2 linked regions of the Alligator mississippiensis genome follow. The protein of the gene in region 2 purifies or fractionates together with the protein of the main gene of each other region. This does not show direct contact. Links are inferred from orthologs where the notes say so. Each region holds a gene or a part of one and is shown on either strand. Other genes may lie near its edges.

The links.
Region 1: the proteins of KLHL6 (region 2) and NUDCD3 purify together in Homo sapiens (affinity purification with mass spectrometry; 3 studies listed by BioGRID and IntAct, counting the BioPlex papers as one, with this or other methods). This does not show direct contact. The link is inferred for Alligator mississippiensis from reciprocal best matches to the Homo sapiens genes KLHL6 and NUDCD3.

What each region holds. Positions count from the first base shown.
Region 1 is NC_081830.1:9,893,072-9,900,950, reverse strand, and holds the start of NUDCD3 (nudC domain-containing protein 3), read right to left. Parts: upstream 3,230-7,879; 5' UTR 3,151-3,229; coding exon 2,953-3,150; intron 1-2,952. Other genes in the region: phosphoglycerate mutase 2, read right to left, coding at 6,486-6,655, 7,691-7,871.
Region 2 is NC_081830.1:41,875,921-41,883,950, reverse strand, and holds the start of KLHL6 (kelch-like protein 6), read left to right. Parts: upstream 1-4,878; 5' UTR 4,879-4,941; coding exon 4,942-5,201; intron 5,202-8,030. UniProt on the Homo sapiens protein: Involved in B-lymphocyte antigen receptor signaling and germinal center formation.

The sequences.
Region 1 (7,879 bases), about 32 Mb from region 2:
TTAAGGGGTGGAGACTCCATAATCTCTTTGGGTAACCTGCTCCAGTGCTTTACTGGCCTCCTAGTGTGAAAGTTTTTCCTAATATCTAACCTCAACTTTCTTTGCTGCAACTTGAGACAATTGCTCCTTGTTCTGTCATCTGCCACCACTGAGAACAGTCCAGTTCTGTCCTCTTTGAACCCCACTTCAGGGAGTTGAAAGCTGTTATTAAATCCCCCCTCAGTTTTCTCTTCTCCAGACTAAATAAGCTCAGTTCCCTCAGTCTCTCATCATAAGATATGTGCCCCAGCCTCCTCACCATTTTTGTTGTCCTCCACTGAACTCTCTCCAATTTGTCTCCAACCTTTCAGTAGTGGGGGCCCCAAAACTGGACACAGAACTCACCAGTGCTGAATAGAGGGGAACAATCACTTCCCTCAATCTGCTGGCGATGCTACTACTAATGCCATTTGTCTTCTTTGTAACAACGGGACACTACTTACTTAAATTCAGCTTATTGTCTGCTGTAACCTACAGGTCCTTTTCTGCAGATCTGTTTAGCCAGTTAGTCCCCTGGCTGTAGCGGTGCATGGGATTGTTCTGTCCTGAGTGGAGGACTTTGCATTTGTCCTTATTGAACTTCACAAGATTCCTTTTGGCCCAATCCTCCAATTTGCCTAGGTCTCGCTGAATCCTAGCTCTACTATTCCTTACAGGTGATGAAGATGTAAGTGACTGGGTATTTAAGCACGAAACAACTGGAACAGGAAGACCTTAAATCAGCCAGTGCTTCCCCTAACACCCTGGTCACATCAACCACTGGGCTGCCTTTGGGATGAAACTTTGCTTGGAAAGTTTCAAACATCATGCAGGTGTCACCCAAGGAAATAGACCGAGACATCCACAACAAATCACAGAAAAGCAGGGGCGAAAGGAACCTCCACAGGTCACATCTAGTCCCACTCACTGCCTAAGGCAGAATCATCCCTGTTCAAACTAACCTAGACAAATCCACCATCTATGTTATGCCCACTGCCTAGTAAGATTGAGGCACCCTACTCCTGTCTGCTTTGGGGGTCTCTAGTAACACTGAAGCAGGCAGGGGAGTGGTGTCAGGTTGCAGTCCACCTTGACCCGACCCTGCGTGGTGCCTCCCAAAAACAGAAGTGTGTGGGGCAAGTGGAACATTTATGTTTCTGGGAGGGGTGCAAGGGTGGGTGACTGTGTAGGGAGGAGGGGAGATGAGGAGAGCTGTGGCATGAGTGGACTCCCCTGGCTGCTCTAAGCTTCACAGAGACCTCAAGGAGGCAGGAGAGCATACTAGCTTGGCTGGGCAGAAGGTACCTGGGGACCTTTATCTGCCCTGAAAGAGCTCTCATAGCACCCCAGGTGCTATGTCACCCAGCTGAGAAGCACTGGGTCAGAATCAGGACACAACATGGGAAATTTGGAGGAAGACTCTACTTGTGCCTCCTACCCATCTGTGGCGATATCTAGTTGCTTTTCTCTCTGATGCGTTTTAAGAGTAATTTGCATTTGCCTGGGGGTTTGGATCAGGTGACCCCTGCCAACCCCAGGGCTCCAGCATCTACCTGGTCCTTTGAGTCTCGTGGTAAATCATGATTACTGCAGTCTCCTCTCTGCAAGCACCTCAACTCTCCCCTTCAGCACATCCAAACCACTGCTGTCAATCCCCCTCCAACACCTCTCCCTAGACTTGACTGCCACGACACCTGTCATCTTCCTCCAATCCCTACCAAAACCATCCTGCCAAGGGGAATGCTTTTGTACCAACCTAGCTGCAGCCAGATACCATGGGGTGGGTGAGACAGTTGCCATGCTGGCCAGCACAGAGCATACTCTCAATGTAAAGCAACTGGAGCAATCAATTGCCCTCAATAGATTCCACGTGCAACATTTCCACTTGGATTCCCAGGCACAGATTCAATGCATGTGTTCAGTCATTTCACTCATGTGGGAACCCCACTGTAAGCAATGCAAGTGCTGATCTGGGAGCTGTCTCCCACAGCATTTTTACCAGTTTTCCCTGAGTAGGATGCTCAGGATGCAGCTGGAGAAGTTACCTGGTTGTGTTGGCAGCAAAAACGACTTGAAGAATGTGGCGGGGAAAAGGAATAAATGCAGTCACTGGGTATAAACGACAGGATCAGAAGGAAGCAGGGTTGGAAGGAATTTCATAAGGTCCGTAATTACAGAGTACAACACACAATAACAAACACACGCTCGTTACCTGCCTGATGACAGGTTCTGCTGATGTTGTGTGACCCATATAGTGCATTTGCATACAGGGCAAGGGCAGCTGATGACACCTACACAAGCCCTAGGGCTGACAGTGCTGTGAATACTGTTCCCCAAGACCTGCCCGGCCTGCCCCTGCCAACTCCTGTCTGCTGTGTGGGTCTCAAGCTGGCCACGCTGGATATTTTGGCAATGGGGGCAGCTGGGAGAAGGGAGGTTAAGGGCCCTGGTACCAGCCTTTAGACAAGATATGATTGTTCTGACTCATGAGACAGCTCATGACTCTGCCGTTTGCTGTGCCAGGCTGGAAAGAAATTAGATACGCTCCCTCCTTTTACTGCTACACCTGTCAGGGGGTTTCTAAACCTTCTTAAGGCTCAGAAGCACTGGGCGCTTGGCTGCAGCCTGGGCTGGGGATGGCGCTGTGCCAACGGTCCTGCTGGGACCAAACCTGTGTCGGGGGCGACTGTGTCATGCGTTCAGGGGAGGGAATCTGGATTCACCTGGGCTGGTTTGGTCAGGGCTGATCCTGCCTCAGGCTGGGGGCTGGACTGGATGGGCCCTCCTGACGTCTCTCCAAGACACCCCTCTGTGACCCTATGAGGTCATCAGTAGGTTTCAAGCCACCCTTCTGTGACCCTATGGGGGGGCCGGGGGAAGGAGGCAGGCGCGAGTCATCGCTAGGTGCCAGGGCTGGCAGGGGCCGGGGGTTACCTGTCCGACCATGGCGCGCGCGGCGCCGGGCGGGAAGCCGAGCCGGTCGGTGGGCCGGCGCAGCAGGCGGTAGAAGTCGGTGCGGCGGTAAAGGAAGCCGAAGAGCACGTGCAGGAACTGGCGCACGCCGCCCGCGTGCTGCAGGATGCCGAGCAGCGCCTGGTCGTACGCGTCGGTCAGCGCCGCGCCCGGCTCCATGGCAACGGCGACGGCGGCTCCCGCGGCCCGGCGCTTCCGGTCCGCCCGGGCACGCGCCCAATGGCTGCCCCGCAACACCCGCACTTCCGGCCGTGCGGCGCTCCACTTCCGGTAGGTGGAACCCTTTCTTCACCCTAAGCCGTCCCCCCCCTTATTTCCGGCTCACCCCGGTCCCTTAACAAATGGCTTCCCCCACTTCCGGTCTCCCAGGCCCCCTCACCCAATGGTTGTTTCAAGTTCCTTACCCAGTGGTATCCCTCCACTTCCGGTCTCCCCTGTTCCTCACCTAATGGTTCCTCCAATTCCGGTCACTTCCAGTCCCTTGCCCGAGTTTCCTCCAGCTTCCGCCCCGTTAAGTGCTCCGGCCATCCCTGAGCGGGCGCGGCGGCGGCGGGGGGTGATGGTACGGGTCCAACCATAGTGGGCATAGTGTGAAACATTTGCTGCCTGATCCAGGGTTACCGTATTTACAGTTTCAAAAAAGACGTGTGTGTGTGTGTGTGTGTGTGTGGGGGGGGGTGTTATATGATTGTAGGGGGCAGCGATATCCCCTCATTCCCAAGCCACAGCCCCCAGCCCTGCTGCTGCCCCTCGCTCCCAACTTGCAGACCCCTGGCACAATCTGTGCCCTGCATTTGCAGCTCATAGTCCACCGCCGCCCTGGTGCCACTCGCTCCCAAACCACAGCCCTGCTGGTGCCACTCACTCTTGACCTGCAGCCCCCTGCTCCCCGCAGCCCTGCAAGCATCTCACCAGTGAGCACAGGCACTGGTGCAGCTCTGCCACCTGGCTCTGCGCTGCCCCTCCCCAGCTCTCTTCCACCACTGGAGGAGCAGGTGCCGCGTGGGGGCAGGTTGGGGAGGGATGCTTCCATGCTAAGCTAAGCAGAGAAAGGAGGGCTCAGAGGCTGCAAAAAGCCCAAATTTTGGATGTTTGTTGATGTTTAAAAAAAAACCCTGGATGGAGATGGGAGGACCCAAAAAGAGGACGTGTCCAGGAAAACCTAAACATATGGTAACCCTCATTTGTCCTGACTACAGCAATGGGCATGCAGGTTGGAAATCCCTGGGCAGGGTGTGCCTACATGGGAGCCTCAGGGTATGACCTGGCCACCACAGATGGATGCACAGACACGTGGGTGAAGGGATGCAGCCCGCCCTGCCCTTTGGCCAGATCTTCCCCATGACCTTGGCAGCACCCAGTCCCCTGCAGGAGGCCAGGTCCCCCCCGGCACCATGATGAAGCCGCTTTGTGACACCCTGACGGCTGGTGGGCTCAGCCCCTGCAGTCCCTGGCAACATGGGATGCTGGAACCCGGGAGACAGATGCCACCAGCCTGTGATAGCAGGGAGGGAACTCGGTGTCGCTCCGGTGCAAGGAGCTGGACTGCAAGACCCGTGCCTCCACCAGATGCCTCTTCTTGCCTTGTCTCAGTCCTGCTCTGTGCCTGGCCAGAGGCTGATTGTGCTGTCCCCGTGGTTCTCACTGTGGGGTCTGCAGCATGTAGAGGGATCCCTGAGACCCTCTCCAGGGTGTCATGTTGTCTTAGCACAGCTAGGGTTGCCAACACCAATGCCTGAGTTGCAAGAGAAACTCAGGGATTTCACACAGGAATCCAGAGTGGCCAGCCCCGCTCCTGCCCCGCCGAGGGCTGGCGGAGTTCTTTGCCACACGAGAATGATTGGCTCTATAGAAGTTGTCAACCTTTTTTCTACCAGAACCCATTTGTAAACATTGATAGCCAGTCCTGACTCGGTGCCCCTCACTCCCAACCTGCTGGCTCCCACTCCCAGTGTGTGGGGCAAGGGAGGGGGGCATGGGGGGCCCCAACCAGCCCCTTGCAGGCTGGAACTCTGTCAGCCTGAGAGGGAAAGCCCACAGATTCCCAAGTTTTTCTCCTTGAAAGGAGAATCCATTTTTAAAGTTTGTTCGTGACCCTTTCATATATTCTTGCAATCTACTTTTAGGTCGTGATCCATGGGTTGAGAAATGCTGTTCTATAGGGTTCTTCCCTAGTCAATGCTAAGAGGTTGAAAGCCACTGTCCTATACCACACATACACACAGAACCCAGGATGAGAATTGTCTTACACACCAACACCCTGCCCCCCCCACCCCCCCCAAGTGTCTGGGACACATATAAACAAAGAACCCAGGGTCCAGGACACACACACACATGCACATGCAGAGAGAGCCCCCACCCTGCCCCCCACACACAAAGAACCAGGGTTGAGAATCATTGTCTTACACACACGCATACTTCCAGGTTTTTCTGGACATGTCCTCTTTTTTGGCCCCCTGTCCTCATGTCCGGGTGGGTTTTGAAAATGAGAGCAAATGTCCGGGCTTTTACTCGGGTGAATTTGATATCTTTTATTAGACCAACCCAAATGGTTGGAGAATAGGTCTTTTACTCTTCCTTTGCTCTCTCAGGTTGGCTGCTTAGGGCTGGAAGCAGCAGGCAAGGTGATTGGCTGTCAGGGGACATGTGCTCCCCATTCAGGCTGGCCAAGAAAAGGGACATTGTGTATGTGTGGGGGTGTGTGTGTGTGCATGTGTGCAACGTGGGAGCTGCTTGGGCAGCAGGGCTGGGGGGGCAGAGTGCTGTGGGTTGGGAGTGAGGGGCACCAACAACACTGGGGGGCAGGGGGCTGTGGACTGGGAGTGGGACTGGCAAGGCTGGGGGGGCAGGGGCTTAGGAGTGTGGGGCAGAGACAGGGCACAGGCATACCACTGCCCCCCCGCCCCCATCATATGCCCCTCCCTTCTCTCCCCCCCTCCTTTTTTTTGATACCGGAAATATTGTAACCCTACCCAGGACACTCCCCACAGCCCCCCAGATGTCTGGGACACACACACACACACACACACACACACACACACACACACACACACACACAGCAGGTGAACTACCTGCAGGCATTTTGCCCCCATGGTGGGGGACTGTGGGGGTGACATGACCACCACAGAACCTGTCTCCTGGCATATGGCCCTGGTGGCACGTGCGGGGCAGGTCCATGGAGCAGCTAGAGCTTGGGTAACAACTTTCCATAGCTGCTCCCACCAAGCCTGTCTCAGCAAGTCCCTCCCCCCCACACACAACTCTTAGAGGCACTCAACTTGCCCCAGAACTGCTGCCTAGAGGGACTGACCCCTGGAGATGGTCACCACAACCCAGACCCCTACAGCAGCAGCTTGGCAGCCCCACTGGAGCAGGGGGGCTAGGCACTGTTACATCTTCCTCTGCCAGTCGAGCCATGCCCAACCATCCCTCCTTGCTGACAGAGGCTCGGGTACTGGGGGATGGTTTCAGGGGTTTATTCCATGGCCCCTCCCTCACTTCTTGACCTTTCCCTGAGCGGCGACTGCCTCCATGGCTTTGCGAACGGTTTCTTCATCGCCCAGAAACTGCATGGGCTTGGTGGGCTTGAGGTTGTCGTCCAGCTCATAGACGATGGGGATGCCTGTGGGCAGGTTTAGCTCCATGATGGCAGCATCTGATAGGCCTGTGGGACAGAGAGGGTCATGGGCTGGGGGTGAGGTCTGGACTTGGGGTGGGAAACATGCCAGGCACCTTCTGCTGGAGTGCATGATGGGCCCCCAGCTCTGGGGGGAGTGGGGTGGTAGGGAGGGTGCCTTGGGGGTAGGAGCTGCCTGGTGGGGGCAGAATCTGGGCGCCCTGGGGGCTGTGGGGCAGGATCTAGGTGTGGGGGAGCTCCCAGGCCCCCAACAGGGGGCACTGTGGGGACAGGAACCAGCCGGGGGGGGCAGAATCTGTGTGCCGGGGGGGGGGGCAGAAGCCAGCTGTGGGGGCAGCTCCTGGGGGTCCCCAGAGGTCCTGTCCCTTTCCACCTCCTTGGAATCCTGGTGACCTTTAGGCCTGGGGAAAGGAAACCAGATCCCCTGTTGGGGTGTGTGGCTGCTGGCTAGGGTAGGGGTGGGGGCAGGGGGGCTCTGCAGGGAAACCTGCCCCTTCCCGCTGAGCCTTGAAATGTGAAGCCCGCCTGGAAATAGCAATGACCTTCAGTGAGGGTCATGGAGCTGCTGGCTCCAGCTCCCAGCCCTACCCTGGGGAAACTGAGGCACAGGGCAGGCTATGCCACCCAGGGAAAGGGAAACTGAGGCATGAGGCGGGGCAGGGGCTCTCTTCATTCAGTGCCAGGTGGCAGCCTCCCTGGCCTCATGGCACCTCTAGCCTTCGCTCTGCCAACTCCTGCCGGACCCCTCCAGCTATTCCCAGTGCAGTGGGAGCCCAGCACTGGGCAGACTGGGTCATGGGGACCTTGTGCCTGCTCCCAGTCAGCCTGGGGGTTAGAAGAGATGCCCTGCAGGGGGTCCAGCAGCTGCTGATCCTGGTGCTGGTTGGTGGGGATATGCTAAAGGTCACAGGTCAGGGTGCAGCCCATAGCGGGGAGGGCACAGTGCTGGCGCAGGGCCCAGGCAAAGGTTACCAGTAAGTGATAGCCCCGGGCACGGCCCAGCTGCCTGCATCCCCCATGCCAGGGCCCAAGGCAGGCTGGGCTGGAGCCGCGGCAGCCTACCTTCTAGATGTTTGACAATGCCACGCAAGCTGTTGCCATGGGCAGCAATGAGGACCCGCTTGCCGGTCTTGATCTGGGGGGCAATGTGGTCATTCCAGAAGGGCAGTGCCCGGGCAATGGTGTCCTTGAGGCTCTCGCACAGTGGCAGCTCTCCGGGCTTCAGATCTGCATAGCGCCGTGCCTGGGGAC
Region 2 (8,030 bases):
GTGGAAGGGACCTCAGGAGGTCACCTAGTCCAACCCCCTGCTCAAAGCAGGACGTCGCCAAAGCTTATTATCCTAGCCACAGCTTTGTCCAGACAAGTTTTAAAATCTCTAAGGAGGAAGATTCTACAACAGGGGTGGGCAAAATGCGGCCCGCGGGCCAGATGCGGCCCACCAGGCCATTCTATCCAGCCCATGGGACCCCTAAAAATTTAGAATATTAATATTTATCTGCCCCTGGCTGCCTGTCATGTGGCCCTTGATGGTCTGCCAAAACTCAGTAAGTGGCCCTCCGCCTGAAATAATTGCCCATCCGTGTTCTACAACCTCTCTGGGTAACCTGTTCCAGTGTTTTACTATATACATAGTGAGGAAGTTTTTCCTAATATCTAACCTACATGTCCCTTGCTGCAACTTGAGACTGTTGCTCCTTGTTCTGTCATCTGCCACGACTATAAACAGTCTAGCTCCATCCTCTTCGGAATCACCCTTCAGGTAGTTGAAGGCTGCTATTAAATCCCTTTTTAGTCTTCACTTCTCTTCTCTAGACTAAATAAGCCCAGTTCCCTCAGTCTCTCCTCAGAAGTCATGTGCTTAACCCCTAACCATTTTCACTGCCCTCCATTTTCACTCCCCTCAATTTGTTCACATCCTTTCTGTAGTGGACTGAACTCAGTACTCCAGATTTAGCCTCATCAGTGCTGAATAAAGAGGAATAATAATTTTGCTTGATCTGCTGGCAACATGCCTACCAATTCAGCCCAGTATGCTGTTAGCTGCCTTAGCAACCAGGGGCACACGCTTGGCTCATAGACACTAACTCCCAGGTCCTTTTCTGCAGAGCTGCTGCCCAGCCAGTCAGCCCCCAGACTGTACTGGTGCATGGAATTGTTCTGTCCTAACTGCAGAACTTTGTACTTGTCCTTACTGAACCTCATGAGATTTCTTTTGGTCCAGTCCTCCAATTTATCTAGGTCTATCCAAATCCTAACCCTACTCTCCAGTGTATCTACTACTCCCCTCAGCTTGGTGTCATCTGTAATCTTGCTGAGGGTGCACTCTATCTCATCTTTCAGGTCATTGATAAAAATATTGAACAAAACCAGTCCCAGGACTGACCCCTGAGGCACTCCACTTGATACCAGATGCCAACTAGACATTGAGCCATTGATTACTATACTCTAAGCCTGATGCTTCAGCCAGTTTTCTGCCCACCTTACAGTGCAACCACAGTATAAAATAAGACTCAGCAGGTGACTATAGACTGAATGGGAAGCAGGATGGAACCGTTCAGTGTGTGTGCGCATATATTCTATGGAATATTTTGTAAAATAAAAATAGTGCAAAAGCTCTTTCCAGGCAAGTTTTGGACTCATATTACAGATGGGGAAATTGAGGCACAGAAGGGTGAACCGACTTCCTCAACTTTTGTCAGCTTGGCTGAGAATGACATATTAAAGTCTTAGACTCCAATTCCTTGTCTACACCCTTTTATTTATATATCACAACTGTTCAGGTTTTATTTAATTCTCTTCAACTGAAGTGTCTGGCTGTACATTAAAGAAGGAAAGCTAACATAGTTAAGGACTGTATTATAAAGGAACTAACTATATATTCCATCTCTTACCTCAGAGCTTTGTAAGAGCAAAATATAAAATAAGTTATTAAAATGGAAAAATATTAATGCCTTGTTAAAAATTTAGATGTGCTGCAGATTATCAACCAGTATAAATCACCATGATTCTATTCAGATTTACAAAACACGAAGTCCTAGAAATCTCATCTATACATGCTAGGCTGTCTTGATTCAGCTTAGAAACACATCCTAAATGCCATAGTTTAACATAGTCCATTACAATTTTCTCTGGAAGGGTTTCCATTCTCTAAAATTACAGTTCCCTCCATTTTAAGATAACTGGGTGGGTTGGGAAGAAGATAAGCCTTGCAGGGTGCCCTGATGTTCTAAGTTATTTAACACCATTCATTAACTACTCAATTATCTATCTATCTATCTATCTATCTATCTATCTATCTATCTATCTATCTATCTATCTATCTATCTATCTATCTATCTATCTATCTATCTATCTAATAGGCCCATGCAAAGTGGCAAGTATTTGCTTCAGATTTGGCCCATTTGGAGGACAGTGACTTGATTCGGAGATTCAAATCACTGTCCCAATTGGATTCAGCTGAATCAGATCTGAAAGATTTGGTGCCTCTTTGGAGATTTGGCTATAGACTAAACAGGCAGCTGACACAGCTGCCTTCAGCTGGTAAATCTGTTGGGGTTGGGGGTGGGGGAGGGAAGGGGTGTGGGGGAAGGAGGGGTTGGATTTGGGGCTGGGACATACTGCCCAACCAGGAAGGGGGAGAATGTTACTGGGGGAGGAGGGTAGCAGGGCAGAGCCCCTGCTCCCAGCACTGCTGCGCCCACATCAGTGCTGGGACTCTGTGCTGCTGCTGCTGCTTGCCAGCTGGCACAGGAGAATGTGGGATGTGGACACGGCAGCTCTGGGAGCGGGGGCTATGCTCTGCTGCTGCTTGCCCCCTTCTACCTGGAGTGAGCCACACCTGCATCCTGCCCCTCCCCTCTCCTGCCCCGGCTAGGCAAGTGGCAGCAGCACAGAGTCCTTACTCCCAGTGTTGCTGCACCCACGTCCCATGCCTCCCTGCCCCCTCCCTGAGTCCTACACCCCCCATCCTGGCTGGGCAGCTTGTCCTAGCCCCAATCCCTCCCACGCCCCTTACCTAACCCCAACAGACTTACCAGCTGGAGGCAGCTGTGTCAGCTTTTTAGTCTATGGCCGAATCATTTTCGAATCTTTTTCTGAATCAATTTGGATGCTTCGAATTGATTAGGAGCTTTTACTTGATTTGATTTGGAAAATTGGTCCCCAAATCAGGCTGAATCTTCATAGATTTCATAGACATTAGGGCTGGAAGGGACCTCGGAAGATCACTGAGGCCAATCCGTCATTGGCCCGCCCACCTGTTCTGGGCCAACCACCCACCTCCTCAGCTGCCACACCTTGTTGTTTCTTAATTGGTTCTTATTAAGGCAGGAGGCTGCCCATTCTTGCCCCAATGCCAGGGGGGGTGATATCTGCGGCTCTGTTCCTCCCCTACACTACAGCCCATGCCTCACATGGTGACATAATTACTCCTGGCCTGAGACCAGAGGAAACCAAGTCCACAGTTGGGCTCCATGCACACGCACACTCATATCACCTTCCTTCTCACAGGAGGCCTCTTCCACTCTGCCCCTCTCTAACTGGGGCCTCTGGCATACTTCCTGTTACTGGGCCATACTCCACTGCCCTGCTTCTGCTTAAGCGACCCCTCTGGGGCACCAGGCTTTGCTACTCACATAGTGGTCTTGCCATGCAGTCCCTTCAGTTCCTGTGAGTTCCGCTACTCTGTGTGGTCTGGCCTTGTGCCAAACCCTGGGCTAATTCTGCCCCATGTCACCTGGCAACTCCTCACACACACACACACACACACACACACTGGGCTCCCAGCCCTCTGGCTGCCCCCTCACTGGGGCTCCACACCCACCCCATCACTGGAGTTCTGCATCTCCACCCCCTCACTGGTGCTGCCTCCTCACTGGGGCTCCACATCACCACCCCCTCACTGGGGCTACAGGGCTTCCCTCCCTGGTGGGGCTCAGGTGGCCGTAGCCATGCCTGGCCCCTTCTGGGTCTTACAACCTCCCTGGGCTCAGGTGGCTATAGCTGTGCCTGGCCCCCTTGTACCCACAATGATGTGGGGGCTAGGGGTTAAGGCGCCTTGACCCACCTATCAGCAGGGTGGTAACTGGCCTGGTATTTCCTGGGGGCTCCCATGCCACTGAGAGCCCCACCAGGCCACCCACTCCCAGCAGGGTGCAGTTTTAGGTCAGGACCAGGACCAGGACCAGGACCAGGAGCCTCCTAGCCATCCCCTACAGCTCCTCCCTTATCTCCAGGATGTTCCAAGCAGCCTTGCAGCCAAGTGATGTTACTGCCTGGGCTGCCAGCAGTGAACTGTTCAGTCTATATAGATGGCCAGGGATCTAAAATGGCTGCCGCAATCAAGCACCTGCTGGCTGCTTGTCTCAGCCCTTAAAGTGGCAGGCACTACAGTGCCCTGCCACACTCCCGCTTATTTGATCTTGTATTATTAAACAGCAAGTCATGGCAGGTGAGACAGGAGAGACTGCCCTAGACAGAGGAGTGGGCCAGCATTGCAATTGGCCACATGATCTTCCCCTTGTCACAATTACCAAACTAAACAAGATATTTTTATATAGGTGTGATATATATATATATATATATATATATCCTGTTTAGTTAAATGCTTCTTCACTACAGAAACTTAAAAGGAATTATTTCCAACATATGCCAAACACTTCTGTGACCTAATAAGGGACAGCAATACCAATCAACAGATATTTCTGAATATGTGAGAATACACTAAAAAAAAAACTTCTGGGTGTCAGCTCAGTTATTAACATTTTAAAAATCATATGTGAAAAAGAGATTTAATTTACAAAAGCAGCTTTTATTAGCTGCTTTCACTGCTAGGTTAAGGGATTGCTAAGCCATACAGTGCACCTATCATTGTGGACAAGTGGATCTGGATAGTAAAGACAGATCAATTTCAGTTTGGGAAAGAGGCCTTCCCTGTCACTTGTAATCTTCTCACATCCAGAAGCATCTTGAGTCCTTTTCTAAACACACTGATATTACTTGAAATTCACAGGGAAGAAAAAAAACCCAGCCTTTGTTTGTGTTAACAGGATGAGAAAGTGCAAGGCTTCCTGTTGTATGTGTGTGACAGCTATAGATAAGCAGAGAGCCCTGGACAGGAAATCCGCTTAACTTCTGTAGTGTGACTCGTCTGAAGCTTAGGAGCTTTTAGACTGAAGCACCAACGGAATGACACGGTGCTGGTTAAAACATGGGTGACACGGTAGAGAAAAGTTCTGAAGAGCCTCTGGTCTCTTTGGACAATGACTGTTCCAGGAAGATGGGGGACCTTGTGGAAGTCTCGAATGGTGAAAAGGTCAAGTTTGATGACACTGGGCTCTCTATGGTTCTTCAGAATGGTCTGGAGAACCTCCGGCTGGAAAACTCTCTCACAGATGTAATCTTGTGTGTGGACAGCATAGAATTCTCTTGCCACCGTGTGGTCCTTGCTGCCGCAAGTAACTATTTCAGGTAAGACAATTTTAAAAAACAGAAAGCCTCTTTCTTTCAGGATATTTAGGCAGGGAATTTCTAAGGAGACTGACATTGGGAGCCCAGCTTCCATTGAATTTAATTGCGTGTTGGGTTCCTAATATTTTCAGCTCCTTTGCAAGCTGAAAGCATCAAACTCTGGATTGTAATATATCACCATTGAACAAGTTTAATTGAGACAGACAAATAAAAGAAAAATGGTTGGCAGATGAAGTGATGGAGAATTAATGTAGCCAAATACTTGGCGCGTTGTCTGAAGCACAGATGCATAAAATGAGGGTGAATGGCGGCAAAGAGGAAAATCATTGAGATCACAGGTCTTTTTGACTCCTTTTGTGGAAAGCTGTCTGTTTTTTTCACTGTTGCTCTGTGGCAGCTTACACATTGCATAAACCTGTTGAGAAAGGAAAAGGATGTGTGTCCCATTTCCTATCTTTCCCAGGATTGCTGTAAAATCATTTGAGAGATGGGAACCATCTGCTTGGAAGAATTTTAAAGAAAATGGAGACTATACATTTAGTCATTTTAAAACCACAATTAATTGTCTATTTTATGCCACTAACTGGAAGGAACAAATTTGAGACATACGGAGAAAAGCAGTGTCAGTTATAACAAAATTTCCACCATCACTTAGACATGCACATTTGCATGGTAGGGATTTTTTTTTTCACGGTTGAAGTGGTCAGATGACCAAACACCTACAGTGGAAACTTGAGAATCAAAATCTGTGATTATTTGTGATGTGAATGGAAAATACTGTTTTAGTGGAGCCTGGCAAATTTTAGTGGCAGAGATTGCAAAAGCATTACTAATAATTATTATTAACAACAACAAAAACAACAACAATAATAATAGTACTTATATTCTGCCCTATCCAGAAAGGCTCAGAACAGTTTAAAATAAATCACAAACTGCACATAGGTAAAAAACAACAGTAGATTCTCCAAACAACATCTAATACTGAAGATAGGAATCGGACATTTCTAAAAGAGAACCCAATGGTGATAAAAGCAGCATCTCAGTGCTTCTGATTCTGGTACCATGTAGTAAAGGGAAAGAAAATGCACAATTAATAAAGGAATTAAGATAACATTACTTTGAAAAACTGGTTAACAGTAAAAAGGTCTTCCCTGTTATCAGGGGCTTACAGGAGAATTCATGTAGCTGCCCACCAGTCACCTGCTGTTGATACAGCACTCTGGGAGGATGCTGTGAATGTTTATGGTCAGTGCCGTAGTAAGGAGGGGCGAGCAGGGCGACTGCCCTGGGTGCTGAAATGAAGGGGTGCCAACAGGTGCTGCCCAGCTGGGGCAGGGCATGGGACGGAGTCATGAGTGGATCGTTTTGGGGGGCACGGGGATGGGGGGAGGGCGGCTCCTGTCACTGCATGCACTCCCAGGCAAGCATGGGGGGAGGGCGTGTCCCCTGGATCTTTGTGTGGGGCAAGGGTGGGCTACCACTGCGGGCTTGGCCCCAGGCACCAAACTTCCTTGCCATGGTATTGTCTATGGTGCACCTTTAAGACCCTTTGGATTATACTGTGACTTTGGGGATACTAGTTGCATATTGTCACATGTCACATTAATAATAATTACACGTATACAAAGAAACTAACAAGGGCTGTTTATGAATCTCACAATGATGCACTGGGAGTTGCATGTACCTAAGGAGAGAGAGATTCAATGGTTAGGCAACTCATAAGATTTGACTGATTTGTCTCAATTACTCTGGATCTTTAGGACTTGTGCAAAGGTCATCAAGTTCAGTCCCTTTGTTACTAGGAATAGCCACATCATCTAATCCCTCTAATAAACTCACATGGTACATTTTGGTTGCTACCAGAACACAAATAATTAATACCACCTTCCCATTTTACATGGAGGTTAAATACAGCCAAGCAGGGATATCAACCTTCAATTAATTGATATCATACTTAGCACAATGCTTCTGATGAATCCTATATTCTTGTAGACATGTTGGGTTTGAATCTCCACTTCACCTGTCCATAGTTAAGGTTGCAAAGAGGCAACAATGCACTACCAGATTAGAATAGTAGCACTTTATATTTGCTTTGCACAGTTAGTAGGCTCAGAGCAGCTAATTTCAGCATTTTCAAGAATATCTATTAATTTGAGGAGCTGAAAATTAAGCAGGATTTTTAAAGGTGGGGCACTGAAGGCTAGGCTCAAACATCCACATTTAGGCAGCAAACATCCACATTTAGGCAGCAAATGGCCTGATAATTAAAACTGTTGAGGGTTGGGCACCAGCCTGACCAATGGGGTAACGAGCAGTGTCTTGATTGCCACTGCAAGTAGAATGCCTCCCAAAGAGGACAGTGTGCTCAAACTCTCTCTCTCTCTCTCTCTCTTCATCCCCAAATGCAGTGGAAGTTGCTGTCTTGGGGTCTCAGCACATCTGTGGAGTAGACTGCAAGCAGGAGGAAGGCAGAATGGCCTAGGTATATGAAGAGGAGCAGAGTATGACTCCTGCTCCCCCAAATTTGCTGGGGTGTTTAGGTGATCAGAGAGGTCACAGCCAGGTTCTGTGTTGCCTGTAATTACCTGCAGGGAGCTATTGCTGTCAGCTCAGTGAGTGCTTGTTCCAGTCTCACAGCCTGTTTCAGAACTGTCAGCTGGCTCCAGTGTCTCTTGTCAATGCTCAGAGCCTTCACCATCTCCTCACCCATCAGTCAAGTGGGGAGACCCGAACCACAGGCAAACATAGTATAGGAGATGCTGGCTCATACCCACTGGGTTTTGGGGAGGAGTGACATGGAACTGCCATTGTGGTTTTCACCTCATGATC